Daphnia pulex: one gene and its partner. The protein of the gene in region 2 interacts with the protein of the main gene of each other region in a pairwise test. Links are inferred from orthologs where the notes say so. Each region holds a gene or a part of one and is shown on either strand. Other genes may lie near its edges. The genes, in order: splicing factor U2AF 50 kDa subunit-like and U4/U6 small nuclear ribonucleoprotein Prp3-like.

What was found.
Region 1: the proteins of U4/U6 small nuclear ribonucleoprotein Prp3-like (region 2) and splicing factor U2AF 50 kDa subunit-like interact in binary tests that used the Homo sapiens proteins (3 or more experiments, as listed by UniProt). The link is inferred for Daphnia pulex from reciprocal best matches to the Homo sapiens genes PRPF3 and U2AF2.

Annotation. Positions count from the first base shown.
Region 1 is NC_060018.1:5,204,940-5,221,242, forward strand, and holds splicing factor U2AF 50 kDa subunit-like, read right to left. Parts: upstream 10,879-16,303; 5' UTR 10,726-10,878; coding exon 10,698-10,725; intron 10,410-10,697; coding exon 10,110-10,409; intron 10,046-10,109; coding exon 9,783-10,045; intron 9,707-9,782; coding exon 9,484-9,706; intron 9,417-9,483; coding exon 9,343-9,416; intron 9,060-9,342; coding exon 8,937-9,059; intron 8,874-8,936; coding exon 8,715-8,873; intron 8,649-8,714; coding exon 8,349-8,648; 3' UTR 7,983-8,348; downstream 1-7,982. Other genes in the region: mucin-6-like, read right to left, coding at 1,313-1,326; RNA-binding protein 28-like, read left to right, coding at 11,145-11,258, 11,333-11,501, 11,562-12,010, 12,073-12,250, 12,314-12,531, 12,590-12,739, 12,807-13,136, 13,194-13,307; casein kinase I-like, read right to left, coding at 13,701-14,188, 14,247-14,417, 14,480-14,629, 14,693-15,031, 15,119-15,200; alpha N-terminal protein methyltransferase 1-like, read left to right, coding at 15,855-15,954, 16,022-16,104, 16,161-16,303. UniProt on the Homo sapiens protein: Plays a role in pre-mRNA splicing and 3'-end processing. By recruiting PRPF19 and the PRP19C/Prp19 complex/NTC/Nineteen complex to the RNA polymerase II C-terminal domain (CTD), and thereby pre-mRNA, may couple transcription to splicing.
Region 2 is NC_060024.1:10,547,134-10,563,436, forward strand, and holds U4/U6 small nuclear ribonucleoprotein Prp3-like, read right to left. Parts: upstream 14,237-16,303; 5' UTR 14,218-14,236; exon of another isoform or gene 14,172-14,217; intron 14,056-14,171; 5' UTR 13,973-14,055; intron 13,790-13,972; 5' UTR 13,753-13,789; coding exon 11,986-13,752; 3' UTR 11,881-11,985; downstream 1-11,880. Other genes in the region: coiled-coil domain-containing protein 12-like, read right to left, coding at 270-421; zinc transporter ZIP1-like, read left to right, coding at 3,374-3,601, 3,665-4,415, 4,478-4,635; zinc transporter ZIP3-like, read left to right, coding at 10,342-10,584, 10,670-11,540, 11,672-11,781; serine/arginine-rich splicing factor 1-like, read right to left, coding at 15,589-15,752, 15,814-15,856, 15,915-16,087, 16,149-16,282. UniProt on the Homo sapiens protein: Plays a role in pre-mRNA splicing as component of the U4/U6-U5 tri-snRNP complex that is involved in spliceosome assembly, and as component of the precatalytic spliceosome (spliceosome B complex).

The DNA of each region.
Region 1 (16,303 bases), on a different chromosome or scaffold from region 2:
ATAATCAACAAAATCTCGAGTAGTGAGGCAAAAAAAAAAAATAAGTCGAGACTCGAGAGCGATGGCGACATAATCTTAACGAATGAGGACAAAGAAAAATACCAAGACGAAGAAGAAGAAAAAACCAACCATTTTTACGAGTTGATGTCATCAATTGTAAGAGAGCAAGAAAAAGATAAAACAAGAATTGCTACAAGAAAAAAGTTGCGAAGGAGACGGGAATGGTGCAAGACGCGGGAGCCAAGTTGTATATAGCTCGTCCGTAAAGGTGTATATAAGCAGAGGTACTAGCTTGAGCAATTTAAGGGCTGTAAAAGACAGGAAATGGACCACGCTCTTCTCTTATTCTCGGAGTGCGCAAGAGAGTCTCCTACTGTTTTTCTCGCGCAAGTATCGAGAGCGCGATACATTCATTAATGTCATCTCCATATCCTTTTCTCTGTCCCATTCGTTTTCTGCCAAAAGGCATGTAAGAAAATGGCCCTTTTGCGTGTGCCCCGGTGCTAATGACCTCTAGACACAATTTGCCAACTATTATCGCGATTGTTTTGACGAGCCCACGACGAAATCATCGAGAAGCTGAGCCATAAATTGTCGAATGCTTTCACATATTATTTTTCTTGACCGCTTTTATCAAGGAATGAATTTTCAACTGTTTTGAGCAGATGCTGGACTTACTAGAGGCTTTCGGGACTTTGTTGGCAACTGCATCACCATGGGTGGGAGAAAAGTAAAAATATCTAAAAAGAGATAGAGAAAACACAATGCCGTACAACAGGCCCGTTGCGGATGGCTGATCCCACTGAATGCACAAGGACGGATCAGTGTAGGCCCGTCCATCCCTGTTGTGCTGTTGACGCCGAAGCCACTCGTGTCTAGTCGTTATGTGTGGGCATCGCTCACAGATTTTTACTCCCTTTCGGGTCCTCCTATTCAGACCGCAAGGCCGTTAGACGGACTTTGAAGCTCATGGGGAGTCTTGGTTGATGCTCCGTCTTCTTTGCAATTGCACCTTATTGCCGGTCAAGCGGGCGGGCAAGCGAGCACAATAAGTCCAGCTATGTAGTCTTCCTTGTTTTCCCCCCTCTCTGATATTTATTTCTTTTACACGCAGTATCGTAACAGAAGTACGGTACAATTCTTTTGAAGAATGCGTCCTGTCCACTGTCGCTCCTGCTCGAGGCATCTCTCAGTGAGAGCGAAAAAGCCCAACATTTTTTTTAAAAAAGAAAGCACCACTTCCCATTTCAATAAATTTGATTGCCCAAAGCAACCAGGAAAAGATGTACAAATATTTAAAAAAAAATCTTACCTCGTCAACGACATGTTTGGCTCCTCTTGAATTTTCCTTTTCTCTTGTTGAATGATGGGCCAAGTCTTGAACTGATGGATCACGGCTCGGAGTAGGATCAGTTCCTGTCGAGATTGAGAAAAATGTTGTTCCTCTTTTGGCTTATTTCTTGATCGACAAGCTGCGACACATCCAGTGCCTGAGGTCCGCGATTGAAGATAAGACCGCTGCTGAGTTGTGTTTCAATCAAAAATTTGGGGTAGTTCTGGGTTTTTCTCCAACCTGTCTTGGACTGGGGCTTGTTGTTGCGTAACAAATTCTCTCTACTCGATACAAGAAGATCAACAACAGAAGGCGGGCGTCATCGACGAGCGTTGCAAAGCGACTGATGCAGCTCGGCTACTGGCAAAGACTCTTTAATAAAGGGCCCCGGCTCACGGTTGGGCCCCACACCGCAGGAACTTGATACACACACACAAGCACCTGCAGGCCCGCTTACACACACACACCTTGCATCGTCTTCTGCCGGTGGGAATGACGATGGCGAATCCTCTTTGTTTTCTTTTTCTTTTTTTTTCTTTTCGGGGGGGTTGGAATCAGCACTGCTTGATAGGCCACAAAGTTTTTTTCCTAAGCTAATTTATTCTTTTGTTGGTTCGTTTAAATCTTTTTTTTTTTTTTTTTAAATCGCGGAGCATCTGTTGCTATTAATGTTGCGGCCATGCCGGGAGAAAGTCCTTTAACAGGACGCCAAAAGTGAACCGGAACATGTATAGAGTTGATGTATATCATACACTTTTAGAGAAGATGTAAGACAATTTAATAGACTCGACAATCGACAAATTCTCCGTGTCGTTTCGGACAGAGACTTGTTGATATATATCTAGAGAAATTCGACCATTGGACGCGTTAAGCTCTCTCTCTAACTATCACGGTGAAATTCATCTAGAAATTTTTCACGGAGTATCGATAGGCACAGGAAAATCAAGCAATAAGATGGTCGTTAAAAGAAAAAAGGGAAAATTGGAGCAGCCATTTGTGTCATTGAGAAACTGCGTTCATCGATCCGCCATCAATTAAAAAGTAGCCTACGTGTCGTCGTCGTTCAGAGAAGCACGCTCCAATTCATTAGCACGCTCCCGTTGGACAATAGCAGTTGCGCAGTTCATGCTCTTATTTTGATTATCTCCCGACGATTCGCTGCTGACCTCAATGACGATTCATTTCTGATTCATTTTGATTCCGCTGGTCGAGCGGATGAGATTGTTGATTACGAGCAAGAAACAAGTCAAGTCGGACACGATTCTTGTTTCGTTGGTTGTTGATTTTTTTTATTTCCCTTATTTTTTTGCCAACCCTTTTGTTTCACTCCAATTCATCGATCAAACAAATCACGGCAGGGGGTGGCACGCTGAAATACGAAAGAATTGCCGAGTTAATAGAGAATTTACTATCGTTTAAATTCATTAGAGATCGTGATGAAGGTAGAGGTCGACATCCGCATCTGTACGTTTTTTTTTTTTTTTTTTCGCTGTTATCCGAGTAATTTCTTAGGGATGGCAGAACATTGATGTTGCTTTCAACCGGCGTTAATGAGCGAATGTCTTTTCTTTTCAAATATCCCCCCATTGTTGAAATGGAAATGTTTGAATTGGCGCTTTCTTCTCGATATGACTGCGAAAAAACGTATAGTATATAAGACGGGCATCACGCAGTGTGATGATAAAAAATTTTGTTTCATCCCAAATACGATAGAATTAGAAACCATTGTTTTTTTTTCTCTCTCTCTCTCTTTTATTTTTCAGTTTCTTTAAGGAACAAATATTTTCCATCTGTTCCTCAAATGGTTGACGCTTTCTTTTTTTCTTAGTTTTGACTTTCGTCGGATTCTAGTGACTGTGTGGGCTTGTATCTTTTATGTAACAGGGCGGGTGTACCGTAACAATAGTCCAAGTTTGCGTTGTCAGCATTTCAAATATTGTCATCAAAGTGGGCCGATCTTTTTTTGGGATCCAGTTCCGGGAATGAAGATGCTGTCGACTTTCTTGCAATACTTGTTAACAGCTCCCTTGTAGAACACTGTCAAAGGGGGCATCGACGCCTTCTACTGGGCAATGTAATCGTCATGAAACAATCGTATAATATTATACCGCTCTTGAAATTGTCGGAATTGCCAAGAGAAAACGAGGTCGGCATGCCGCCCACCGCTCTTGACTTTAAGTGACCATTCAAAAGTCGTTATTTAGTCGGCTGCGTTGCAGCTAAATGACATTTCATTCCATATGGTTCGCCTCAAATTATTTGTTAACGTTATATTATATGACACGGGAACAATGAGATTGTTTCATTATGGGACCCTACTGCAGACTCCGTGCATAATACACGCAATTGAGAAAGCCGACGGCAGGTTTTTCACGAAAGGTGTACTTAAGCATCGCACGGATGCAAATTAGGCATACTTGTTCGTTCTGTTTCGCGGCACTGTTCCATTTGAAGGCGCCCGCAATTGGCGCCCTTATGGCTTGATCCGTTGATTACGTGATGATTGAATTAAACCAAAAGAGAGCTGCTATACGTACTTGAGTGACGGCGTGACCGAATTACGTTCACGGTACATTACCTCGTTAAGAAGGGAAGAAATCGGCCGTCGTTTGGACCCACCAACCCACTGGCAGTCTCGATCAGAAACAGTGCGTCACATTTCAAAAATCTTAGTAGATTCTTTTTATCACATTACTCGAGTCCTGAAATGTTCCCGAGGGAGGAACGAAAACTTGATCGTGATAGCCATCGACTTATTTCTTGGCGTTCAAACGACCGGCATGTCGGTTACTCAACTCTTCAAGGATGGCTCGTGAGCTTTTGTCGTCAGGTCGTGTGGACATTGACAGACGGTTGCGCCCGTATGTGTCCGCATTGAATAAATCCGATTGAAATATTGAAAGAAAAAGACAAATTTGAATTGTTCTGATTGTCTACATATTCTGTCTGCTTGTTTTCCTGCTCTGAAGACATTTTTCTTTGTGGTCTCCAATTTTGGTTTTATCCTGTGAGAGAAGACTATGCGACGAAAATTTTAAGTTGCGTGGAACAAATTGCATTCGACTTTACATCGTTACCGTTACTTTTATGAGACTTGTTTCTACTGGTGCCCATCGCAAATCAGAAAAAATCAAACGTCTTTGGTATCCCTTGTTGAAACTAGAAATGTCAGATCCGCCGTGATTTTTTAATACAGACTTGTCAGATGCTTTAAATCTAGTACGGACATTTCTCATCATAAAGTACTATATTCTTCTTCTTTTTCTGTGTGAGTTTTCCAACGGGAGGAACGAACAAAAAAAGTAGCCGGATTTTGTGTAATAACTAACGAGCGGGCATACCGTCACATGAGGACGTGACATTGCTCTGACTGCTGCTGGCATAGCACAACCTCCTTCTTCCGGCCACGTTCATAGCCTTCCGGGGCGCGTGTATCATTCACATGTACTGTTATCCGGTTAGCGCCTATGCACTTGCTGCCGGGCAATACGTGCAATGCGTACAGAAAGGGAAAAAAACAAAACAAAAAGAAACATAACAGTCTTTTATAATGTCGCTCTGCAACTCTCTTGTGTGTTTCTCTTAAATTTTATTTTATTATTTTTCTTTTTTCTTTTTAAAATAAAAAAAACGAACGATCGAGGCACAAGAAGAAAAACGGGTTCGACAGTCCGGTACTCGCGAAATCGACTGTGTAGGAAGTGGTGCTATGTTATAAGCATTTAAATGGACCTACAAGAATTTCGTTTTTTAAAATGAGTCATTCGGCCAGCCGGAAATGAGACGAGACAAGAGAACAGTAGCTAACGGAATCAATAATAATTTCTTATCTGTTTTCTTTTGTTTTTTTTTACTTTCTTTATATTGTTGCTTTGCTGTTTCTTCTTTCTTCGTCATTGACTTTTTTAAAATTCCCGCTTCTTCGGTTCCTTTTTGCTTCTTCACGAAATTATTATTGTCGGCCGTTTGCTGTTCCTTTTGTCAAGGAAAGTAAGTAAGTCGAACAACTTGTATAGCATCATTCTCGTATCGTAACGGAGAGAATGAACATAAAAAGATGAGTTCTCGTAGATGGACAATACACGGATGATAACGGAGATCAGTGATGATGGGGGCCGTATATATACAGTACAGTATCATCATCAATATATAAGAATATATGTGTGCTGTTGAACGAGTGTGGATTAAAGGCCTGAAACGAGGCCGACCATATTTTCCCTTTGTCTTACGAGAACAGCTGAACAGTCGACCGCTGTTTTTTGTTGTTGTCTTTTGCCGTATGTCAACATTTGTTTTTTGAAGAATCTCACTTTAAAAAAGAGAAAGTCGGCTTTATTATGTGTAAGTAAACTGCCACTCAAATAAACTGCGATGATAAATCAAGGCAGCCGCTTTAGTCTCAGCCGTCATCGTCAAAGATATTTTTAAATATATTAACTGCTGCGGTATAAACTTTATCCATGAAAAAAAAAACGAAAATTGTATAACCGAAGTACAGTGCGGTACAGTGAACTTCGTCTTGTATTTCACCTCAGGGAAAAAGGTGCGATAACTTTTTTTCGAACTTGTATTTTTCAAGTTCATCCAACTAAAAAGTCCTTGTGCATATTCTATTTTGTTTTGTGCCTTTGAGGATGTTGGTTGAAATGCGTTGCTTTTACACATGAAACGCGATCTACCATAGTTTGGTACCGACCGACACATGAGGGTGACTGTCACGCAGATGGTCCGGATTTGGACGTACAGCCTGAAACATACTGGGTTATAAGAAAAAACTCGACACTGTAACCAATTTCAAGAATTCCATTCGTGTGACCGCCAGTATGTGGAATGAACGCAATACATTCTTGATTCGTTCTCTAGGTGGGCCAAAAAACAGGGAAGATAAAAGAGTTCCGGGCCGATTTTGAATTTGTTTCAAATTCTAAAATCGTTCGATTGCAATTTGTTTTTGCTGATTGTAGACAAAAAAATTGCGGAAGAATGTTTGTCGGCGAGTGGAACCATCCCGAAAAGGTGCTGATGAAGTTCATGTCGAATCGTCGGATTTCTTTGGGACGTTAACATTAAAAACTCGCTTTTTTTTAAGGGGAGGGTTCCATCAACTTGGTTTTCTTCTGTTGGTTTTTTCAAACCAAAAGTTTCAATTTTTTTGTGGGCACTGCGCAGTTCACGTTACATGAAAAATGTCTATGAAAAGAAACGCAAACTACTCGGGGCGATTGCACGCGTACCGCAAGCGCGGCCATACAAAACAGACGACCGTCCGCGATGATGATGACGACAAGGTCGTTTCTATTTATCTACTTCTTACGGAATAATACCTTGCAACCACTTGTTACTGTTAATTTCTCTGTGTTGTTATAAGTATTTATTTCTCCTTTCTCCATTTCACCTTCTCGAAATAACTGTCGATTTTCGGTCAACCCAAATCCAGCGTGGTCGCACTTACGTTTGACGTTATAAAGGGCGAAAAATGAATGGACACGATTTCTGTCAATTCACGCTGGCATTTCGATGTGTTGATTTTTTATGACAGGCTTATTGTGGTGAACTTTTCACAAAAGACTTGCACACACACACACACACTCATTCAAGCTCTTTTATTTCTGCCTTTTATTATTGTGCGATGGGTCGGGTTATTAGTGGATTTTGTTTATTTCGAACTCGACTGTCGGCTAGACAAACTCCTTTTCCTTTCGCGTTTCGATGAGAATTGTTTAAATGCGTCGAGTTTTAACCGAGCACGATTGCTCACCGCAAAAGGAAGGGAAAAAAGGAGGGGCACGCCTAGAAATACTTTCGTTATTTAACTGGCTTCTTTTTGGTGGTTAACGCTGATGACATATGATGTCGTGATGGTGTGGCAAGTTCAAAAAAGGAAGTTAATAATATTTCAAAGTACTTACAATTAATATGTCCAGCGAGAACGTGACCATTTTCTCTGCAATTTTCAATAGCTATTTGCTCGCATTTGCTGTATTAGCTATTTGCCCTCCCGTCAGGAAGTTTAAATTCATGACGAGTCTATTGTTCATTTTTATAAGAAAGGGCTATTACATATTAAAGGTGCTATGATTCGAGTAATTTCATTTTGCTATCAGCAAAATGGGAACTAAAAACAAAAAAGGCCGAAAATTCCGCTTCGATCTGAAAGCTTTGTAAAGTGCAATATCTCTGCGGAGTTATCGCCAATTGACGATGCGGGAGAGACATTTGTTCGGGTCAGTTACTATAATCGGTACAATCATGTATGTATTTTTTTTCTTTTGTGTACAATGAAATCACGCTCTCACGGTTCGATTCGTTCATTTTTAATTTTTACCACTCAAAAAAGAAAACTTTATCGGCGAAAAATAATTATGATTCCTTTTTTAGTTTTGTCTGATGAAACAAAACACGTTAGGACAAATCAACGCTTATTAATACAAATGGGGAAAGAACCCGCCAGGTAAACTTTTGCAACAACTATTTCTAGTCGACCCACAACGCAATTTCAATTTCCATTCGTTGGGCGATTGCAATAATTCTACCTGTCACACGGCCACAGGGAAGAATAAAATCCAAAACAACTTCTATCGTAGTTTATTGAACCTCTGTTTTAATATGGACTTATTTCTAGTTCAAGTTGAAATAATTGGATGCTTTCGAAAATGGAATAATGTGGCAGTTTGATGTTCACCGCACATTTGTGTATTGGGAAATATGGTTTGGTTATACATTACTACACATGTTATTGTTTGTTTTGTTTTTTCACCGACACGCCAAACAAAGAGGTTGGACAACACAAACTTGATGCAAAATATCGAAAAACCCATTTAGAAATGACAAAAAAAAACTGAAGAAAAAGAAAATCAAATTCATCAAGGGAAATCCCGTACGCATCAGGCCGTTTATTCTCATCAAGCGTCGGTTCGTCATGACGTTATTTGTTTCATCAAAGTAAAAAAAAAAAAAAAAAGAAGGGGCATATCTTGCGGATTACTTTTTGTCTGATGACAGAAGCCGTCATGGCTTAGAAGTCCCGTCGGTGATAGCGTTCCGGTTCGTAAAATGACGTAACGACGATACGATTGGCGAACTTGCGACCTGTCAGCGCCTGCTGGGCTTTAACGCAGTCGCTCACCGAAATAAACTCGACGAAGACCTTGCCAACTCCCGGTACATCATCGACACCCTCCAACGGCCTGGGAATTTCGACTGAACGTACGGCTCCATGACGATTGCATTCCTCACGAATATCGTCCACAATTTCCTCATATTCCTCGTCGTCCCTCAATTCCTCGGGTGTCACCATGTTCAGCAGACATAGAACCTACGCAAAAGAAAAGACCAAAATGAAATTAAAAATTGTCGCATTAGACAAGGTTGATTTTTGTACCTCTGTCGGTTGGCCAGGACCGGCAGCAAGATTGAATCCTGGTACTTGAATCTGGACTGGCATCTGGGCGTAAGCAGCGGCGTTTTTGGCTCCAACACTGGCTCGCTGGATGATGATCTTTTTGTCTCCCAACTGCATACCGTTCAATCCGGAAATAGCCTGAAAGAAAAATAAAATTAGATGTAATGGTTTTTCAAGGAATATTATCATGGTCTACTTTACTTGATCGGTGACGGTGACGTCGGCATACTCGCAGAAAGCGTATCCCTTGGATAAGCCAGTAGCCGTATCTTTAACTAAGTTAAAGGCTCGAAGTTGTCCAAAAGACATCAGCAATTCCTTTACCTAAATTCGAATGAGACAATTTGCGTGCGTGCCTAGAGTCGACCTTCAAAAATAACAATCTAGGGATCGACGGTGGGGAGATGGATCGAGGTTGTGTGGTTGGAATGGGTAGGAAGTTTTAAGGATCACGTGACCACTGTTTAGGGAGAACGAAAGAAGAAGACATTCATCAGAATCGATTTTGCTTCAACTAGACGCTCACAAATCCCATTTCTCTCACTCTTTTTTCTTCTCCCAATCGAAAACACATTTTACAGTCACATCGACGAAACAGGTAACTTACTTGTTCTTCGTTTAAGTAATTTGGAAGTCCACCGATGAACAATTTGTGGGGTGTATCCGGGACGATCGTGCTCACTGAGCAAAAAACAATGAATACATTAAAGAAATTTGCCATAAAAGAATCACTTTAAGTCGTCCTTACTTGTGCCTCCTCCTCCTCCACCACCTCCACCTCCAGCCCTCTTTTCAGTTATACCACCAGAACTCATGCCGGGCGTTGTTTCGGGACCACCACCTCCTCCTCCTCCGCCGCCACCACCAGGTGTTGGATGATAATCATGGGGTCTGCGGATTTTTAGAGTTTGACCTTTAAAGTTAATACCGTCAAAAGCCATGGCCTGGGAAGTTTCATCAATTGACCGAAACTGAAAAGTAAAAGAGCAAAATTATTTAAATATTCCACTAAAATACTAGGTTTCACGTGAAAACAATCCAACAAACCTCCAAGAATGCAAAATTCTTATCCAGATTAATTTGACAAGCTAAAATGGGATGACCTGGAGCTTGAGACAGACCAGACAAATGCATCTGTTGATTGAAGAAATCCATCATTTCCTCCTCCGCTGCGCGTACATCAGAAACTCCAAAAGGAATATTCCCAACATAGAGTCTCCTGGCTTGACGAGTGATTGTGTTACCCACTACTGGTACTTGGACTTGTGGGGCTACTTCCGTCATTATGTTAGCTGGAATTTGTCCGGCAGCTACGTAGATTCAAGAAAATAATAATTAGCACATTAAAATTGAAACTTGAATAAGGATTTATACCTTGCATTGCTTTGTATTGCATGGGTGTGATGTGTTCGAAACCAATAGGAGGAATATCCCAGTAAATAGACGGCTTTCTTCGGCGTTGCTTTTTAACAGGAGAACGACTCCTTTTGCGTTCACGTTCACGGGACTTGCTACGCTTCTTCTCCTTCTCCTTTTCCTTAGATTTAGACCTTCTCTTTCTGTCACGAGACCTGGACCGTCTACGATCCCTGTCTCTATCTCTTTCCCTATCCTTGTCTCTTTCCTTGTCCTTTTCCTTATCTCTGGAACGGTCACGATCTCTCTCCCTGTCAACTAAAGTATTTCAAATGTTAATAAATCAAACAAGTAAGTTTACTTGCTTGACTACCTTCTAACTACTATGACTAATATTTCCATACAAAAGCAAAACCACGAGCCAACATTATAAACCATTAAAAGTTATGAAATTATGTGTAAAATACAACCAGATCATTAAACACCCATTACTTGTAAGTAATGTGTGTTAAACATTTCTTTCTTAAGCATCACAGACTCTTAAGAACATTACAAAAGCATTATAGTTGATATTGACAGAAGTAGTTTAGAGAAGTTAAAACATACCTTTACGATCATCTTTATCTTCTCCCATGATTAACGTGTGATTGTTAGCTTTTGTACGACAATAAGAAGAAACACAGCAGAGGAAAACAGTTAATTATTGTCCAAATTTTCACTAAGACTGTAAGCCGGTTTGATTAAAGGCTGGGAATGGGCGAATGGCGTCGGAGACGAGGTTCGATTGACTCCTTGTACCGGCAACGTCGATTTAATGTTTACAATTTCAAACTTGGTTTTGATTAATATACTGAAAGGTAAGATTAAATATTTCATAAAATAATAGCCACATAAAATTTATTTTCTGAGTAATTGTTGTATTCATGTTAATCCTCATTAGTTGTCATTTTGCCAATTGACAACAGTCTATGCTACATTTTGACACATATAATCGTCTGCTTGACTAGCTACATCAGTTATACAGACAAGCACGTGTTTGGATAGATTTAAAAGATGAATCACTCTTCAGTTAAAAAAGAAGCTTCTATTGTTACTAAAGCAAACACATCAAAGAAGAGACCACCCAATAAAAGAGGAAGAATAATTATTCGCAATTTATCTTTCAAAGTAAGCCAAGAAACTTTAATTTATGCTACTTTTAGTATGTTAGTAAGTTAGTACTTGATTTAATTTATTAACAGGCAACAGAAGAAGCTGTTAAAAACTGGTTTGAGAAATATGGAGAAATTGAGGATGTGAAATTATTAAAGAAACCTGGTGGCACTTTAGTTGGCTGTGGTTTTGTTCAATTTAAAACAGTTCCATGTGCGGCTACAGCAATCAAAGAATGCAATGCAAAACCATTTCTTGGTAAGAAAATTTTAACATTTTAAATTTGATAATAGCTTATCAATTGTTTTTTTTTTGTAGGAAGGCAAATAGCTATTGATTGGGCCATACCAAAACAACAGTATGCCACTTTAAATAATAAAACTGACGAAGTTCCAAACATTGAGCCGCCAGAGAAGAAAAATGACAGAAAAGATGAAGAATCTGATGATGAAGAAAGTAATGATGAAGAAGAAGATAATGATGAAGAAGAACAAGATGGAGAAGCTTCTGATTCTGAAGTTGAGAATGGTTCCGGTGAAGAAGAAAGTCCAAAAAAAGAAGAAGCTTGGAAGGGTGATAATTCTGAAATAGAAAAGAAGAGTGATGTAGCAGAAGGAAAGACTCTTTTTATCAGAAATTTGGACTTTTCAACCACAAAAGACTCGTTGAAAAATTTCATGGAAAAATTTGGCAGTGTTCACTATGCATTGTTGTGTATGGATAAAATTATGGAGAGACCCAAGGGCACTGGATTCGTAAAATTTAGAGTAAGTTGCATTATTGCAAAAATAAATACATACTAATAACTTTTCATATTAACCATTTTTAGGATTCGGAATCGGCTCAAAAGTGTTTAGAAGAGTCTCGAAATCCATATTTACAGTTAGATGGACGCATTTTAGACGTGGCTCTTGCAGTTACTCGGGAAGACCTCGATCACAAAAAGCAAGAAGCTGAAAAAAAGGAACATAAGGATAAGAGAAATCTATTTCTTGCTCGCGAAGGATGTAAGATTCTGAATGTAGATATTAAAGATTGTTTTTTCTTGCTTATCTTACAATTTTCTTTAGTTATTAGACCTGGTACCTTAGCCGCTCAAGGAGTTTCTCCAACTGACATGGCGAAAAGGCAACAAAACGAACTATGGAAAAAGCAAATGCTTCGAAATCTCCACATGTTTATTTCACGGGAACGATTGGTTGTCCATAATCTTCCACCCTCACTTACGGATCAAAAGTTGTCTAAGCTTTTCAAGAATCATTCATCCCCAGATGCCAAAATCGTAGAGGTGCAGTAAATTTTTGGTTTTGTATAACAAGAATCTTATTAACTTCAGATTATTTTAGGCTAAAATTATGCGCGACTTAAAAGCTGTTGGTGAAGGAAACGTACATCCATCCAAAGGGCATGGATTTGTAAAGTTTACCAAACACGAAGACGCATTACTGGCATTGCGTAATATCAACAACAATCCCACTTTGTTTTCAAAAGATAGGGTAAACATAATTTACTTGAGACTCCTCTTTTCTGTGTTTATTTTTATTTTATTTTTTTGTTTTTTAGCGACCTATCGTGGAATTCAGTGTGGAGAATCGTGCTGCCGTAAAAGCCAAACTGAACCGTGTTCAGAAAAGTCTTGAAAATGTAAAAAAAGGGAAAGATGAAAAAATCGCATCTACCAATGCGACTGCTGAACTACCCGTTCAAGAATTCAGTGGAGCAAAAGCTGACCCTAAAATTAAAGGACTACCATCGCATAGAGGACCGAAAATTCGACATCGTAAACGACCTAGTCCCCCCGATGCTGAAGTTGTTCCATCAAAGAAACCGAAAATTCGAAGAAAAATGTTTAAAAATCCCGAGAATCGCAAAGCGTCCGCTAAGAAGAAAGAGGTAAATTTAGGGAATACAGTCATAAATAAAAAATTAACTTTGCATTGTTCTTGCCAGGGAGTTGCCAAGACAAAATCGACAAAAAAGAAAGTTGCTGGTAGTGTAACAACTGGGGCTCCTAAAATGGCTAAAGCTACATCTGGGAAGAAAGGGAAGTGGTTTGATTCGTAAGTTTTATGTTGAATAAATTGATGACTTGAAAATTTCGTCTTTTCTCCTTGTGGGTTATTATTAAGTGTAGACTGGTGTTGAGAAACCATTTGTATTCCGATAAGCTTGTCGCGTAATTTACAAGTGTGACAACATACAAGTAATTTTTTTTTTTTCATTTCATCACTTTACTTCAAAAAACGATTTCCAAGGCTGCGACACGTTACGAAGAGCAAATCGAGAACTGAGGAGAACGGGAAGGGATGCAAAAGAGTGGCAAGATCAGAGGAAGAAAATGGATGATAAACATTTACAACAAGGGTTGGTCGTACATATCGGTAACAATATCCATATATTCATGACTTAATTGTTACCATCAAATCTTAAAAGCCTTCAAATGATACTTTCATTATTTCACTGTTGGGTACGAGCTGCACGGGAACGTGCAGCCCACGAAGCGGACGTTGCAGGCAGGGGGTTAGTAGGATGCGAGAACGAGGGCCGTGTGGGGGCTGGGGGATTGGTCGCTGGCTGTACAGGTCTCTCAGGTGGGAGAGTTGCTGTCTGGCCCACCCACTGAGCGATGGGTGTATTCCTGTAGGCTCGAGCCCTCTGCTCTTTATCTTCAGAAGATGCGGCTACGTCAACAGGCATTGACACTGGATTTGGTGCTACAGGGAGGGCTGAGTTAGCTGTTGCTAAGCCATTGCTGCTGCTTCCATTAGCTCCAGAAGCTGGCTTCTGAGCACCACCAAATTTGAGCATGTTCCAGTCAAATACGTAATCATATGTGAAACGTTGCCGGTGGAACAGGTTCCGGAAGAGGTGTCTCAAATACGGGTAATCTGGCTTTTCTTCGAAACGAAGCGACCGGCAGTAGTTGAGATATGTGGCAAATTCAGCTAATAAAAACGACAAACGTCAACGTCTACCTAGATGAAACATTAAACAAATTCATACCAGGATATCCACGACAGAGCTCCTCAACAGAAGTAGACATCTTCTTTTCTGAAATGATTTCGTATTTTTGTCGTTTAGTTGCTGCACGCAAGCCTTGCCAGGGTAATGAACCTCGGTTGAAATACATTAAAACGTAACCAAGACTTTCTAGATCGTCACGTCTGCTTTGTTCTGTAGCGAAGGAAAAATTATTTTAGAAAGTGAATCAAGATTTTTATCCATCTGAACCTTACCAATTCCAACATGGGTGTGAATTGAAGCATATCTTGCAGTACCAGTCAAATTTTTATTCTCTCGGTAGGGAATGTGGGCATTGGTTCTGGCATCACGATATTTTTTGGCCAGACCAAAGTCAATAATATAAACAAGGTTACCTCTTTTACCTAGTTAAAAACAACAAAAAAAAATTAGATAGGAGTAATGCGAAAACAGGAAATAGAGCTTACCTAGTCCCATAAGAAAATTGTCAGGTTTAATATCTCTGTGGATGAAATTTTTAGAATGGATATATTCAATTCGACAAACAAGTTGATCAGCTAGAAGGAGTACTGTCTTGAGTGAGAATCTCCTGGAGCAGAAGTTGAAGAGGTCTTCCAAACTAGGTCCTAAAAGCTCCATAACCATGACATTGTAGTCCCCTTCAGAACCACACCACTTTACAGCAGGGATTCCCACCCCACCCTGCAGCATTTTGTAGAACCTTGATTCAATGTGAAGCTGGGGATGCTTGGTTTTGATGCATTCCAACTTGATAGCAACTTCTTCTCCAGTGGCTATGTTGGTGCCTAAATGGGAGTGTTAGAAATGAATGATTAGAAATCCAGGACAAACATACACAAGTGACCAGACTTTCGTTACGAAAATGAACTTACCGAGATAAATATCACCAAATGAACCACTACCGATCTTCCTTCCTAGTCGATACTTGTTTCCGACTCTTAATTCCATAGTCATCTTAGTATTCTCAAATATTTAACTTCGTAGTTGCAGAAATGAAGTGGTAAACAAATGGAGGGCAAGGCCAACAAAGACAACTTCTCTTGCCCGTCACACTGAAGCTTACTTTTTCAAAACCAAATTCGTGGACAAACAGCTAAGAAATTCAGGATAAAGACGAAAGATTCCACAGCTGATCAAACTACTGCATCCTTTCGGTGATTAAAACAAAGATGTTTTAGAATTTAGTGGATAAACAAGAGAGATTTTTTCTCGATCGAAAAGGGCCTCAAAATTTCCAAAAAAGAAGAACAACTAGCCTGAGAAGAGGTCTCGCCCTCACAGGAGCTGCGTTGCCATTAAACTTCGCTCATGAAAACTAGAAAGCGGAACAAAATAAAATCGGTGTTATTTACACATTTAAAATGTTGATAGAATATTAAGAATTTTCATTTTTAGAGTTAATTAATATAGAATTTGGTTTCTTGGTGTATGATTGAAGAATTTGTACTTATTTTTTGAAAACTGACAGCTGTAACTTATTTTTTGACAGCGAATTGGGTCTCTCGTCCTCTTGCTCATCACCCTATAAGGCTGTTAAAATTCGATTTTGTTTACCGGGAAGTCACGTGCGAGTTTCCCGTGCCTTGAAGAGACACACTTTTCAAGATAATGGATAATGGAGAACTTAGCCAGAATGTCAAAGTGGATTCGAAAGAATCGGCCTTTTATGTAGATGCGGCAAAATACTGGGAACAAGTACCTCCCACAGGTATTTAAACCAATCAGAAGTTAGAACTACATCTAAACTTGTTGATGCCATTTCCTTTTCTACTCAGTTGATGGAATGTTGGGTGGACTTTCAAGTATCTCAGACATTGACCTTAAAGGATCTCAACGTTTCCTCAACTCATTATACCAGGTAGTTTCAGTGATTTTTGTAATTGCAATCAGGTTATGTGAATCCAAGTTTCCTAGCTTGTTGAATGCCCAGGAAAAGAAAGAGCTTTAGATGGTGGAGCTGGCATTGGACGCGTAACTCAAGGCTTTTTAATGAAGAATTTTCCTGTTGTAGACTTGGTTGAGCAAGATAAACAGTTCCTAGATGAAGCTGAAAAAGC
Region 2 (16,303 bases):
TGTGCGCGATGTGCGTAGTGCAGTTCTTGGTCTTTTGCATCGAAAGTTGCAGCCATCCAATTAAACATAGTTAAACTTACAACACGTTTCGGATTGCCATCTGCAATAGCTCCTGCCAGCTAGACTCCTGAGCTTGAGCATTTCCGTATTGATCGCAAGCTTTACTCGTTTGAAAATCTCTTTACCAATTCAGTTTATTTCCATCCGCTGCCAAGCCAACTTTCCGGTTTGATAATATGTTATTTATGTAGTTGCTTATTGATGGATACCTGGGTAGCGACTGTTGCTGAGCCTCGGTGCTCGATTGCCTCGTCTGCTGCTCCTTGAGTTGCCTCAATGCTTCGATTCGTTTCTTGCGTTTCAAGGCCTCGTTCTCCAAATTCGCCGCCTCCTCTCCAGTCGCCAACTTTTCATCTTCCATCGTCAACGTCCCTAAAGGCACAAGAAAAGGGAAAATAAACATCAGACAAGTTGGTTTCAGACGACTCACGGCTTGCTCGGCGTTTCTCACAGACTAGCTTTACTCTGAGTGTATATATCGTTAGTTACTAAAATGCTGCCACTTTAGTTAGCTTACGCATGGCTTGCTCCGAATCTTCAATCTCAAAATAAACTTGCTAAGGTCGATTCCGAGAAATTTCAGTAGCTAGGAGACGATTCTCAAGCTTTAGCAGTGTCTTTCCTATTACACCAATTACAGTTCACGTGCCAAACGAGAACAAACGAGAGAAATAGAAACAAAGAGCTTCCAACTGCTATTAATTCACTGGAAATTCACATATTCAACACAGCTATTTTACTTTATCGTTAAGATCTGAAAAAGACTGCTCTTTGTAAAAAGTTAGCTCAGTAATCAATTTGGTGATTTGCAATCAATAATCAATTAATGTAAACAATGCTTTAGGTATGGTGTAAGATATGGCATGCAAAAATTTCATGCAACGAGGAAACATACCAAAACGAATTAAGATAACAGTTATCTGGTATTTTGAATAATTCTTCATTGACTGGGAAAATAGATGGTACTTTATTTAAGTTACTGTAAAGAATTTGAGTAAGTGGTCAACCAATTAATAATGATATTGAACTACTATACCAAAAGCGAACATTCTGTTGCACATTTGTTGCACACGACGAAAATAATGGACAACGAGCAAGACAAATTTACCTGATAATTGTTGTTTTCTAAGACAGTATACACAAGATCTTATTGTGAAGTCTTGAAGTTCAAATAAGCTATAAAATTCATAAACCACACAAATAAAGAATCCCACACGAGAAGTTTATAATTTCAACTTGCAAGCGCCGACTACGCCGAGTTTTCGGCTGTCAGACAGTAGGTTGCCAGACCACATGTCCCGCCAAACGGATCGTATTTGATTCCTGTTTCCTGTTTCGCGATTAAATAAAACGCATTTTACTAGGCAAAAAGAAAAAATATCAGATTCATTGCTTTGAAGCTTATTTTTTATTATTAATCTCAATTATTATTTAAATTTTTTTGTTAAGGTTTATTCTTTTTTAAAATTATTCTTTTTCAGAGAGTGAAGCCATCTAAGGAGAATAATTTGAATTAGGTTGCTTTTTGACGTCACAACAATATGCACGAGGGGAGAGGAGACAAATTTTGAAATTCACATCTTCTTCCCTCTCGTTTATAATTAATAATAGTAAAAGAACCACGGTAAGTCGAAAAGTTAAACCTCTGTAATGATTTTTATTTGCTTACTAAATTTCTAATAAATGTATCCTTATAAACAGCACACAAGAAGATCTTTTAAATTTTGTGTCCCTTGGATTTACTATGGAATCAGACAAATCAGATGAAGAAAGTGATAATGATGTCCCATCATCAATACTTGGAACCAAGAATTTGTGGGTCTTCAAAGTGCTATTTAAACTCAGCCATTTCCCTTCACTAACAAGCTGTTATTGTAAAATATTTCAGTTGGGACCAGCAGTACATAACAGAGCTTGAAAACTTCAAAGATCATGGGGATATCGGTGAATATTAAATAATGATTCTTCATCTATAAACTTACCATCAATAATGTTTTATTAGGAGAAATATGGTTTGGAAAAAGAATCATGGATACAATTGTAAAATGGGTTGCAGACAAGTTCGAAAAAAATATGAGCATTCTAGATCTTGGCTGTGGTAATGGTGTACTTCTTATTCAATTGGTAACTACTTTACTTGTTGTCTTAGCCTAGCAATATTTTAAAAAAAAACTGCTTGTGGAAGTTGTCTCAGCAATAAAATGTAACTATTGTGCAATGTGCAGGCTCAAAAAGGATTCCATAATCTCGTTGGGGTCGATTACTCGGAATCGGCTGTCGTCTTAGCCAGAGCCATTGCAGACAGTCGTCAAGCAAAAATTTATTATAAGGTTGTTAAATAGTTTTATGATTAATATACTTGATTTTTTTGAAGAATAATTTTAAAATCCCACATTCACGATTCAGACCATGGATGTGCTTAGCGATGATTTGGCTGATCCTCAGGACCACATGAAATATGATTTACTGCTGGATAAAGGGACGTTTGATGCCATTTCACTGATGGAAGACTTCGGCTCAGCGATCCGTGAGCGCTACCTCAAAACTACATGCAGTCTGTTAAAGGAAAACGGACTCTTTCTCATAACTACTTGCAATTGGACGAGCGAGGAGATTGTGCATCACATGGCAACACGTACTGAATTGATTTTGAACTTTCGATTGTTTCCTTCGAATTTATGTTGATGCATTACTTATTGCTTCCTTAATTTTTCAGACTATAGTCGCACGGAAGTTCTACCAACTCCTTCACTGCAGTTTGGAGGTACGCAAGGTAACAAGGTTAGCGTTGTCGTCTTCCGAAAGAAGGTTTAATACAAAAGTCGAAAGCAATTAATTTGTTTTGAAACTTTTCTGCTTAAAGCGTAGAACTTGCGCCACTTAAAAGGCAATCAACAGAGAAAAGGTGAGATATACGTGATCAATTATGAAAACGATATTTCACTCGTGCTCACGGATCCTATACTAGTCGGTAGTCACGTAGCCCATAGTTGGCCTTCCCTAAAGTTATCTATATTGTGTTAGCTTCGTTAAGAATGCAGTTCTTTTGAGAGCAAGTCGTGAAATAGGTTAGAGGGGAATTCTAGCTAGCAATTATTCTTAACAGCTAAAGCAGAAACAGATAGACATTTCTGGAAGCCCTCAGAGAGATACGAATTGCTGCCAGAAGGGGATAAATCGACATAATAACGTCGGAAAACATTGGACATCTAGGACATCTATGTCCGTCTAGCAAGAAAAACGTTTACAATAACCTCTTGATTGAACGCTTCTAAATTTCTCTGTTTTATTTCTTTAGTTGTCTCAGGTGAAAATGCTGCTGGTTAGTAAAATATGCTCAGCCGTCCTTCTGGCTGTATTCAGACTTTTTGCTGGACTGCTACCACTAAAAGTCCACCGAAAACTGGAGAAGTGGAGTCGCCGCGGTGAAGGGCAAAATGGAAGTCGACGAAGGGATCGCGTAGAAATGTTTCTGTCCATGTTCCTTTGCTTTGGTGCTGGACTGCTCTTATCCACCTGCTTCGTTCACATGGTCCCAGAGGTATTTTAGTTCTTCAATTTCAGCAAAAGCAGAAAACAAATGACACATTAATTCCTGATTTAGGTAAGGGTGTCGTTCGTTCAGGCATCAAAGGTTGGTAATTGGCCAATATTGGAACAATTTCCTTTTGCCGAAATTGTCATCTGCATAGGTTTCTTTGCGGTTTATCTACTAGAAGAGCTAGGGGAAAAACTGATCAAACATGATCCACCTGAAGAAACGGGCCATGAAATGGTCCCAGCCAAATCTCAGTCGTTACTCGGCCTGGATGGCGGTAGAAGAAGTAGCATTCATCACAGTCACGGAGACCATGCTCATTCACATGGACCGGCATTATCCGCCGAAGAGCAGAAATCCGTCACTGCGGCGATCCGCGGATTCCTGCTAGTAGCCGCCCTGTCATTTCATTCGATTTTTGAAGGAATGGCCATCGGTTTACAACCAACCCAGAGCGACGTCTGGTTTCTTTTCACTGCCGTCATCGTTCACGAACTTGCCATCATGTTCTGCATCGGGATGGAGATGCTGGCGTCTAAACTCCGCGTTCTCCTCTACGTCATTTACATGGTAGAGTTGGGATTAATCACTTCGGTGGGTGTTGGCGTCGGGATTCTCGTCACAGAGTACGTCCACGATCCTTCGGCTACCCATTTGCTAGTAATCGCCATTCTGCAAGGTATTGCTACTGGAACTCTTCTCTACGTAACGTTCCTTGAAGTGCTGGAACGTGAACGCCATAAACCAGGAAACGGACTTGTTAAGTTAGCAGCCATCGCCATCGGATTTTTCCTACTTACTACCATGGAAACGTTTAGTAAGTTTTAATCATTACCTTAACAGCACAAACTTTCATCAACTTGAATTTTGTAAATGTAGCTGGACAACATGAGACTACTACGAGCACCACGCCATATCCTCCAGTTGATTACGTTGCAATGAATCAGTCGTCTGTCGAACCGTTTGAAGAAACAACGTTGGATCTACCAGATATTCTTAACGCCACTTTAGCTTTTCTTAATGTTACGCTAGCTTAGTCAACCTTCTTCCAAATGCACGGTAACCGTCGAGAACGGAAAATGGTTTGCTTATTATCAAACAATCCTTATTACTTTCAATTAGAAATGTTTAATCCTACATAATCAAAATTGTCCTTCGATGTGAATTCAATCCGCAATTGCAAATTTTTCTGATCTCGTATAGAGCGAAATAAGATGCGCCGAAAGAATCGGACTTCCAATTCTGTGAAATACGTGATTGGTGACTTTCAGTTATCAATTTTCATCGAAGCGTAATGTCTGTAAAGTTTCAATTGAATTTTATTGGTGCCCAAATATAAACTTTGTGTTTAGCAGCATAATAATATAGAGTACAGTTCATTGTTTTCTGATAAAAAGAGAAGCGCCAAAGAGAATAATTGATAACACAACTTCAAAATATTTCTAATTCAAAATGGGATGTATTCAGAAAAAGGGTATACAATTATACGCACAAACAGTTACGCATTCAATATGATCTACACTCATTGTTGTCATTCAATTATTTGTATCAGTTGTGAACGGGTTTCTATGGTGTTGCTGCTTTAGGAATAGGACAACACAAGGCTTTTACGCCGGTCACGCAACATTTTCCGTCTCCACAACCGTCTTTGCATACCAAATTAAATCCGGTTGGACATTCGTTGCTTGTCGAACAAATTGGCGATGTTCCTTTCCAGTAGCAATTCGATCTGTCCACGTCGTCTTTTATATGACAATGCAGTCCCTTAAATTGTGCGTCAGATTTCGCTAGATCTGAATAAAATCGCGAATTCAATTTTTGAATTCCTTCAACTCAATGCAATAAATAATGTGCTAAAATACCTGCTTGAACCCATGATAGAACTAAGAGAACAGAGAAAACAAACAAAACAGATTTTTGCATTTTCAACTCGATCGGAAAAGGCCAAACAAACACCTTCAGGGTATGAATTTAGACTGAACGTTTCTTATTTGATCTCTAAGCGTATATAACCTACATTTCAAAAGATGACACAATAATTTTCGTCACATGATGAGATGGCACCTGGCTTATTAATATAGTGATTAAATTAAAACTGGTTATGTACTGGTATTGAGGAAAATTGATCTTGTGTTAATATACCGGTCATAACCTCCGCGTTGCTAATAAGCCTCGTCTAGATTAAATCCAGTTTTGTGGGATTAAGACAATCTCTATCCTGGTTTATATTTGTAAATGTTAATTAAAAACAAAACGCATAGTCGTAATACGACAGAAGACCATGAAAGTTTATCGCGATCACGTCCTGTATTTTTAAGAAAACTTTTGCGTACTACGCAGTTGCGAAGTGTAGCAAACACATATAAGAGTGATTTGATAATTGATATCAGTTGTATTTCAAAAGGTGTCCGTCGTTTGTAATAAAAGAATACTTTGAATAACGGTTAAAACCTTGAATGGACTATTTTTAGATGGATTCCCCTGGTATTGGGCAGCACAAGGACTTGTTGCCCGTCCAACAACATTTCCCGTCTCCACAGGCGTGTTTGCATATCAAAGAAAATCCGTACGGACATGCATCACCGCTTACACAGAATGGCGATGAACCTTTCCAGTAACAATTGGATTGGTCCACGCCCGGTTGAATATGGCAATGCGGTCCCATAATTAGCGGATGAGTCTGATTGGATTTCTCCGTATCTGAAATGCGGAAAAGAGAAGTTTAAATTTGTTTATAACTAGGTTTTGAATAACACTTGCAAAATTACCTGCTTCAACCCATGCGACAACTAAGGCCACGGAGAAAACAACAAATAGAAACGATTTCTTCATCTTTGATTGCAGCTTTTCAGTCAGCACTTTTAAGTATATACTGTGGCGGGTATGAATTGAGACTGAAACAAAAGTGAATTCTAGTTAGCGGCTAAGCTGGTACCCAAACGTCGAACTGGAAAATACCCATTTGAAAACGTCGTCATGATGATTTTGCTTGCGACGCTTCAACGAATTTTTAAGGTAAAAATTTACTGTTTACTCTTTGGCGTCAGATTAGTTACGGGAAAGTATACTACTCATCCAGTAGACGATCCCAATAAAAGCAAGTTATTTTCTCCTTGAATTCTATTTGATAAATAGATAGACTTTATAGTTTGGACGGTGTTGCGGTGAGTAATAATGCTACTTGTTGATAAAATATGCTCAGCCGTGTTACTGGCTGTGATAAGACTTTTCGCCGGATTGCTACCTCTTAAAGTTCACGGAAAATTAGAGAAATGTCTCAGCGAAGGACAAAGTGGAATCCGACGACGAGGTCGAGTTGAGTTGATTTTATCAATGTTCCTTTGCTTCGGTGCCGGACTTCTCTTATCGACTTGTTTCATCCATATGCTCCCTGAGGTATTTCAGACCTTGAATTCAAACCATTAATATAATGAAACAATAGATTTCCTGGATTAGGTGAGGACGTCATTTTTAGAAGCGTCCAAGGTTGGTGAATGGTCCGCATTGGAACGGTACCCCATTGCCGAAATCGCTGTCTGCACAGGATTTTTCATCGTTTATTTTCTCGAAGTGCTGGCCGAACGATTGATGAAGCAAAATGATGTCGAAAACTACCCGCTGAATTTGAGGACAACTCCTTGCAACACATCAGAACCGAACAAAACACAACCATTACTGAGGACAGAGGACGGTAATAACGGACTTCCAAATTACCACAGCCACGGAAACCAATCTCCCGAAGAACACGCTCATGGCTTGGCATTATCCGCCGAAGAGCAGAAATCCGTCACTGCGGCGATCCGCGGATTCCTCCTAGTGGCCGCCCTGTCATTTCATTCGATTTTTGAAGGAATGGCCATCGGTTTACAACCAACCCAGAGCGACGTCTGGTTTCTTTTCACCGCCGTCATCGTTCACGAACTTGCCATCATGTTCTGCATCGGGATGGAGATGCTGGCGTCCAAACTCCGCGTTCTCCTCTACGTCATTTACATGGTAGAGTTGGGATTAATCACGTCGGTGGGTGTTGGGGTCGGGATCCTCGTCACAGAGTACGTCCACGATCCATCGGCAACTCATTTGCTAGTAATCGCCATTCTGCAAGGTGTCGCGGCTGGAACTCTCCTCTACGTCACGTTCTTCGAAATCCTGGAACGTGAACGCCATAAACCAGGAAACGGTCTAGAGAAGCTGTTTGCCATTTTAGCGGGATTTCTTGCGCTTACCGCGTTAGAAGTTTTCAGTAAGACTTTCCCCATACAACAATATGCATCCTGCTTGCTTGTTAATGCAGAATTTTTCCATGTAGGTGCAGCGCATAAGTTGGAAAAGGGAATCCCCTAGCCCCTAAAAGGACTAGCAATCAATTGTACCCCATGCCCCATATGGTTGTTTTCCCCGACGAAACAATATTTGGCAACGACTAGGTAAATTTTGCACCGTCGTGGCTATAATGTTGAAGAGGTTGTTGCTCCCAAAATCTCTCTTTTTCTTGCTGTGTCATGGCTCATTTCTCTGCTTAATTTTATTATCAATGAATTTAGAAAGTGAGACGATATTTTCTATGCTTCGTGACATCGCTTAGTTTCTCTCGGGGAACACTTTATCGGGCAGGTGAAAATAAGGTACAATTTTATTTGATTACTAACGGAAAGTAAAAGTTTCGAAACATTTCGAGATTTTTAAATATGCGACAAACAGTGAAGTACAGTTATGCGCCACCTATGTGAGATTGCGCAAGATTGAATTGCCGTTAGCATAAGAGTACAAGTGTACAACCGAAAAATCCTTTTAATCCCATGATGAATGCGCCAGGTAGACTTTTATCAGACATCACGTACGCCAAGTCTGCCAATCATTTGGCCGACGAAAATTTGAAATAAGCCCGTAGGAATTCCATGGAGTGTGTTTCCCCTAAAACAAGGATCTGCAAACAATTTGAAACTGTCCGACATTGCTTACAAAAGTCGTCCTTATACACAACTACTTGCTCATTGTGTTTGTGTAAGCTTATTATATTGAAAAGTGCTTGTGGGGATACCAGCATAAGGTCGCGACACATTTTCGAACATGCAGGAAAGAAAACATGAGGTATTATAAAGATAATGCAATCATAGATTTTATCTTTATATTCTTCCTTCTCTATCCTTGAGCGAAATTCTGGGTTTTTCCCTGATAGATTTTTTATTTAAATTTCGCGGGTTGGTTATAATCTCGCGTCTTTCAAATGAATGGACCATATAGTGATGTTCAACCGAGTTGCTGAGAAATAACTTCTAAGAAATTTTTTAACTGAAAATTGGTGTTATCTCTCATGTGTTTCCCCTATGAGCGATAAATAGTTGAGGTTAAGGTTCACTAAACTAAAAATGTTAGATAAAGATGTAGGTAATCTCGATATTTGTTTACTGTATAAGTTAGTTTGCTGCCGGGCATAGTATAAGGAAAGCGGAGGGTACGTTGGCTGTTGTTTGCAGTTGAAAAAACAAATCACGAATCATGGGCGTGTTACTAGCTGTTTCCTACAAAGAGTAAAATGGGTCGAAGCGCCGTTCACATCCGCTCGGAAGTTGTATAATATAAAAAAAACACGGACGTACGATTATTTCAATAAGTAACAAAAGGACGTGAGTAGAACGTTTCCTATATAAATACACGCTTTTCAACAGGCAAACGCATTTGAATGTGAAAATGTCAAAGCCACGCGTTTCCTAATAAATCAAATTTTGCTGACTGTTGGCAGTTTAGCGCAGGGATATTGCAACACCATCCAGATCCGGGACCAGACATCAACAAACGGCTGGCTGAAACCTTCTGGCTTTACCAACACAGTTTGCTCCCAGTTGGGAAAAGTGCGTACGTGTGTGCATAATCATGATGAGATATTGAACCGAGAGGAGCCGTGGTTACCAGGGACGAGTCACGCGGCATTCAGTTAAAATAAACAACATTGGTACTTTTTCTCTTCTTCATCTAGCGGCTAACCACTCTTCCTCAATTCTCTGGTCATCTTTTGTGATAACCGAAGGGTACAAAGTCTCTCCTTCAAAGGAAAAAGAAAGAGAGAGCGTCGTTAAAGAAACCTTGGAGACCAGAAAAAGCCTACACAAAATAAATGGAGGAAACACAAGGAAAAGAGAAAATCGTGGTGAAGCGCTTTTGTTGGTTCGTTTGGGGGTGAAACATAAAACACTCAAGAAAAAGGAAGGAGGGGCATAGAGAGAGTTGGGTGTTGTGTCTTGTCGGCCTCGCTAGTCAGACGAAAACATTCCGAGCGAACGAGCGGATCGACTCGCTCGCGTTCCGCAGCAATCAACAGGTGTCTGTCGCTAACCGAAAAAATTACGACCAAGGAGCAGACGGTAGCTTGTTTGTTTGAGTCTGTGTTTTGTCGAATCTTTTATCGCAAGCACACGTGGAGAAGTAGTGACTTGGCGTAGTATACTTTAGGTCATGAATCTGTTGTTGAGCAACCGTTGGATCATTACCTTATTCCATAATTGCCATCGCCAATCCGCCAGCAGTTCCTCGTCGTCAGCAGCTAATTTATTTAAATCAGAATCCGCACAGTGAAACGCCCACCCACAACAAGACAATTTGTTGATCAAACAAGTTTTCTCGACTGTCGAGACGCAGTCAAGGCGCTGTGTGCCGAATACTTTCGGCCACGTTGGTTGTGTGACAGCTTCTCACATTGACGTCACACTAAATAAAAATCTGCCGTCTCATTCACCGAAACAGAAATGATGTTGGTCAGCAAAATTTGTGCTGCGATCCTGCTCGCAGTGCTGAGACTCGGAGCGGGATTGTTACCTTTAAAAGTGTATCAAAAACTCGACAAGTGGAGCCAACGTGGAGACCTTAAAGCTGCTGAAAAGCAAACAATCAACAAACGACGAAAACGAGTGGATTTGTTCATGTCTGTCTTTTTGTGCTTTGGCGCCGGACTGCTACTTTCCACCTGCTTCATTCACATGATTCCAGAGGTAATATCAAATAAAACAATTGTTTAGTGTCAAGATGTCTGAAAAATTGTCTGATAACTTATCGATATTACGTAACATGTTTCAGGTTCGAGATTCGTTCGACAAGGTGATTAAATCGGGTCAGTATCCGGCTCTGGAACAATTCCCATTCTCGGAAGGCATCGTCGTATTGGGTTTCTTTGCCGTTTACCTATTTGAAGAACTCGGAGAACTGTTGATGGGTCATGGCGAAAAGAAGAAGAAAAAGAAGAAAACAAATGCTGCAGGATCTCCTACGGTCAATGGCCAAAGTCCTGTTAAAATGGTCACATCTGACTCGGAAGATGATCGCCACAAGCTGACGATTATAACAGTGCCTAAAGAGGACATAGGCACTAAACGCGTGACTGAGGAAGGAACTGACAACGATTCCGACGATTCCAGCCATCATGGACACAACCATCATGGGCATAGCCATGGGCCTCCACCCATACTGTCGGACCTGGAAGAACGATCTGTCGCGGCAGCGATACGCGGCTTCCTGTTGGTCTTTGCACTGTCGTTCCATTCTATTTTCGAAGGAATGGCGATAGGATTGCAGCCAACTCTGAAGGACATTTGGTTCCTATTTGCAGCCGTTACAGTTCACGAGCTGGCAATCATGTTTTGTATCGGGATGGAGATGTTGGCCTCCCACATTCGTGTAGGCATTTACATTGCCTACATGGTCACACTGGGTCTTATCACTCCTATCGGAGTGGCCATTGGAATATTCGTCACGGAATATTTTCAAGATCCTACGCCGTCTCACACGTTAACCATCGGCATCCTTCAAGGAGTCGCAGCCGGAACTCTCCTTTACGTCACATTTCTCGAAGTGTTGGAACGCGAGCGAAGGAAATCCGGCAATGGATTAATTAAGCTTTTATCCGTTTTCGTCGGCTTTGTCCTCCTGTCATCACTTGAAGCCTTGGGCGGTTAGTTTCCTCCTTTTAAAAAAATTCTAAATTCAATTTCGCTGAAAAGGAAACTATTAAAAAATCTGTTAGAAATGACAATCACGAACTAGTCTAATAAATACCACCTTTTTCCTTATGCTGCGTCATAGGTCACGGAGAACCAACAACAGATCACCAAACACAAACAACTGTCGGATTATCGTTTGTTTTGCAACCCGTCACGACACCACGTTACACCTTCTATTCACCGAGTGCCTGAAAAGCTGCCCAGCGTCAAAGGATATATTCTGTCATGTTCCTGCGAAGACCTGTATAACATTCCCCGTTTTTGTACACAAAAAAAGAAAAAAAAAAGAAATAAAGACAAATCTTTTTATTGATGGTAATATTCAAAGATGAACGTTTGGTTCAAAAATGAAAAGAAAAAAATAAAGAGTTAAAGTTGATGGCAGAATGAAACCGATCACTTTTCTTCAGTTTCTTCCAGCACTGCTGTGGAATAAGACAGGTCCCAGTAGTGTTCGACGCCGTGTTTGCGAAAATGTTCTCGAGCCACAACCTCCGATGGGCAAAGTTTGAAGATGAGGTCACCAAAATTGCGTTGTTTGGTCGTGCCTTCCCAAACGAGCTGGCAGGAATTCCGCGTTTCGGGCTGGGAGGATGAACCAGTGTCGTGTTTGCTAACCTTGACGGCGTCCTCTTCCCACCGAATGCGATTGAGCATCAAGCGTTTGTACTTCTTCTGCTGTTTAGGGCCTCCTTCGACTATAACGACGTTAACGTCCTTGAAAATGACTGCGCATCCCGTCATGTAAAGCTGCTTGGCATTGGTCTCGATTTTGAATTTCTTGGATAAATTGGACAAATCCTTGATCCGGTAAATCGCCACATGCACACCGCTCGTTGTCGTGTCTTCTTGGAGCTTTTTCTCCTTCTTTTCGCGTCGCTGGTCAGCCGTCAACTTTCGAGAGGCATTTGCCTCCTGGTGATTTTGAAGTCGTTTGGCCATTTGCTCGCGGACGTGAGCTTCAATTTTGGTTGGATCCTGGATGGCTTCGTTGCCCAACACGCGCATCAAATTAGAAATTCGAACTTTTGCTTGAGGTGGCGGTTCCAGTCCCAAACGGATATTTTCTTGTTTCTCCTTCCAATTTTCACGTCGAGTGGTGCGGCGCAACTTCTTGCGCTCTTTCTCGGTGAGAAAGACGGGCAAATAGGGCAAGGCCAGCGGGTCGGTGGGAGCACGCATTTGGATGGGATGTTCGATTAAATTGGTAATCGTCTCCTGGCGTAAATTGGGCTGTCCGTCTTCGCCTTCGTAGCTTCGTGTTTGCAAGATGACCGAGTCCCACCATTCCAAATCAATGTCCTCCTCCTCCTGACGATCGCCAACTCGTGGGGCAACTAGAGCAAGTGCAGTGACTGAATTGATGCCAGTCTTACGGGCAATTTGAGAGATTTCGCTTTGCAATTTGTCTAACTGAGCCTTCATTCGCATTCGAGATGCCACTTGCTGAAATTTGCCCTGCTCGTGAAAGTGGAAGGTTCTGCGTGTTCTCACGGAGGATTTGGCTGCAACACGTGGATCGAAGAAGCGACTTTCCGTCAAATTTCCCGCTTCCTCGCTTTGTTGTTGAGATCCTTTGCCCATGTGAGTCTTGAGCACCTCGCGTTTTTTGGCACGAATGTTTGCCTTGAGAGTTGGTGTGTATTGGGCCAAGGCAATCTCTTTACCAGTCGCATCAACTGTCCTTCCATCAGCGTTGAGAATAAGTGGGCCAGGTTTCGGCTCATTATTAGACCCTTCCCCTGTTGATGCAGGGACACTGGCTGTTTTAGGAAGACTCAAGTTCAATGTGGCTAAAGTGGAGGTGGCTAGTTTTGACTGAATTTGAGCCTGTAGTTCAGCAATCTTTCTGGCACGCTCATCCATTGAAGATGGGGGAACGGCTTTAGGAGCTACAGGTGTTGGAAGTGATGAGAGCACTGGGGTAGTCTTGAGAAGAGCTGGCGGTTGATTGAGAGATCGTTTCCTTTCCTCAATCATCTTTTGAGCATTCATCATCATTTCTCTAATCTGAGAAGAAGAGAGTTGTTCAGTAGTATCCTGGTCACTCTTTCCATCTCCATTGCTGTCATCCTGGAATCGTGATTTTAACTTTTTTGCTTCTCGACCAGGTCCATCGAGTGAATCTTCTTCTTTAGGTCTTTTTATGCTTGTAGTAGCCATGATTGGAAATACCCCAAAAAACCTATATCACAGATGCCTAAAAAAAAAGAAAGAAAAGTTGTTGTTTACTGAAGAGAAACATTCTGCTACAATGTTATTATAGTGACAATTTTCAACGTACTGAAAATATCTTCTAACAATGTTTAATCTATGACAAATGACGAATGTATTGTGAAATAAAATCATCGGTTTATTGAAGAAAAAACAAAATTATTCTTACCAATGCTTCAATCTTCCACTGTAGTTCGTAACTGCAGGTCTAAACTTGCTCTGTTTAGAGACCGGTTAACAACCGATAAGAGCCTATTGATGCACAGAAAAATCGTAGAAATTCAGATGATAAACTCAAAACGCTGTACAAATATATAATTTCAAACTATATGTTTTTTTGAGTATGCTCAAAGTGAATGTGTAATTACACTATTTTGGGGGAAAATTTGTACGTTTTTATACGTTTTTGGTTACCCAAGCAACGCGAAGACGCCATCTAGAGGAATCTTAAGGAAGTACTGGGACTTTCGTAAAAAGAAAAAGAAGAAGCAAGCGCTCAAGTTCAAAGCATTTTTGTTTCTCATTTTTGGTTCCAAGGACAAGGAGATATAAATTTAGAAAGAAATCAAAACTAAACAAAAACCTATTTTTTTTCTCTGAAACAGTTTCTACGTTAAGTTTCTATGGTGAGTAATCGTAATGCGAATTGTTTTAATTGTTCTTTCTGTGTTTAAGACGAAAAGCAACTTTGTATTTTAAACACGTCATCAAATTTTTGTTTTAGTCTAGAGAACAGAATAATTTTGGTCATAATTTTTTTTTCAAAAGCATTTCACTGGTTGTATTAAATCGTATCATACATAAAAAAATTGTCATTAAAATGGTAATACTGTTTCCAATGTGCCGAAAACAGAAGTATCGGTAAACATCGAAGGAATTTCTTTGTACTCCAAGGAAATATCACCATTTGCAAGGCATGTATTATTTCCATTTTGTCGTCATCCGTCGGTTTCTTCTTTCTCTGTATGATGATGAAAAAAGTGCCTGAAAATCAAAGGGTAAGCAATCCTAAGTTAACTCTTGTCTTAGGTCGGGCTCAATTCCAAAGTGCCGGAGTCCAACAGATCTCTTTAAAATAAACGGGTCCTGACAAGGCAAGTCCACAGCGATTCACCACGACGGTTGTAGACAAAGGAGAAGCGGTTGCTGTTTCCAGCATATCCTCCAGATCCTGTCACCTATCAATCCACAATGCATCCATCCAAATCCATTCCAATGAAATCCAAATCCAATGCAATCCAAATCCCACAACAATCCCATCCAGAGAGAGCAATAACCTTGCTGTGTACGCTACAAATAGAAAGGGGAAGAAAATGAGAATCATGTTTATTCGACGCACAGCTATTTTGTGTATTACAAGAGGGAGGGGAAAAAGGAAAGGATGAGGTTGCTCACGGAAAAAAAAAAATTAGTTGGTTGGAATCGGGGAGCTCTGAGGGTATTCGAAACCAAAAAGGATTACGTGTACGTCGAGAAGAAACTGAATGATTAGTAGCAATAATTGCAAATGCCAAAATCATAACCCAAGAAACATATTTTGAGTTTCTCATAAAAAATTGAAATCTTTGATGTAGCTTGTTGTAAAAAAAAAAAAAATTGGTTTTTGCAATTTAAAAGATTTGCTATTCATCTAAGAATTTTGAAAATATAGTATGAACCATGGAGACAATACCAAAGACCCCTTTCCTCCTCCAGTCCTTCCAATCCTTAAGCTTTTTGTTGTCCACATCGCACAACTTTTGTCTTTTTGTTTAGTTTTGCCTTTTTCTCGTTTCCATAACTTTTTTAAGATCGTGATCTGGAACGAGGTGAGCGTGAGCGCGAACGGGAATATGAACCACCACGACGAACGGGGGAATAGCTGGGGGAGCCGCGACTTCCACGTGTTTTGCCGCCACCACCGGCTGGAGAATAAGATCGCGATCGATCACGAGTTCCGCCGCTGCGACCTATAGAAGAAAAAATTCAAGGTCAATATTTACTTTAAACAAAAATTGAAATATAACTTACCGTCTCCGCTATCTTCCTTAACGCGCACATATGATACTTCTCCCTGTAAACGTACGAATAATTTTGAAAACTTTGTTTATCAAGATTTGTAGAAAATATACCTCATGTGAACGGAATCTTGAGTCATCTAATTTCTTGATGGCGTATTTCATATCCTCGTAGCGAAGGAATTCAACCATTCCAGTTCCATCTTTATAGGTATCAGCATAACACACATCACCAGCTTCTCTCATGTGATCTTTTAAATCTTGCCATGATCCAGTAGGAGGAAGACCTGTGAATATCAAAAGTGGCTTTAAATGATGGTTTAAAACTTTACTAAATGTTTAACTCACCAGTTACAATGACTCTGTAATTTGTTCTTCTTGCTGGTGGCCCTCGACTCCTGCCTCCACCATTGCTACCCCCACCATCACCCCCTCCTCTACCTCCATCACCACCTCTTCCTCCACTTCGACCACCACTACCCCTAAAAAATAAATATTATGAA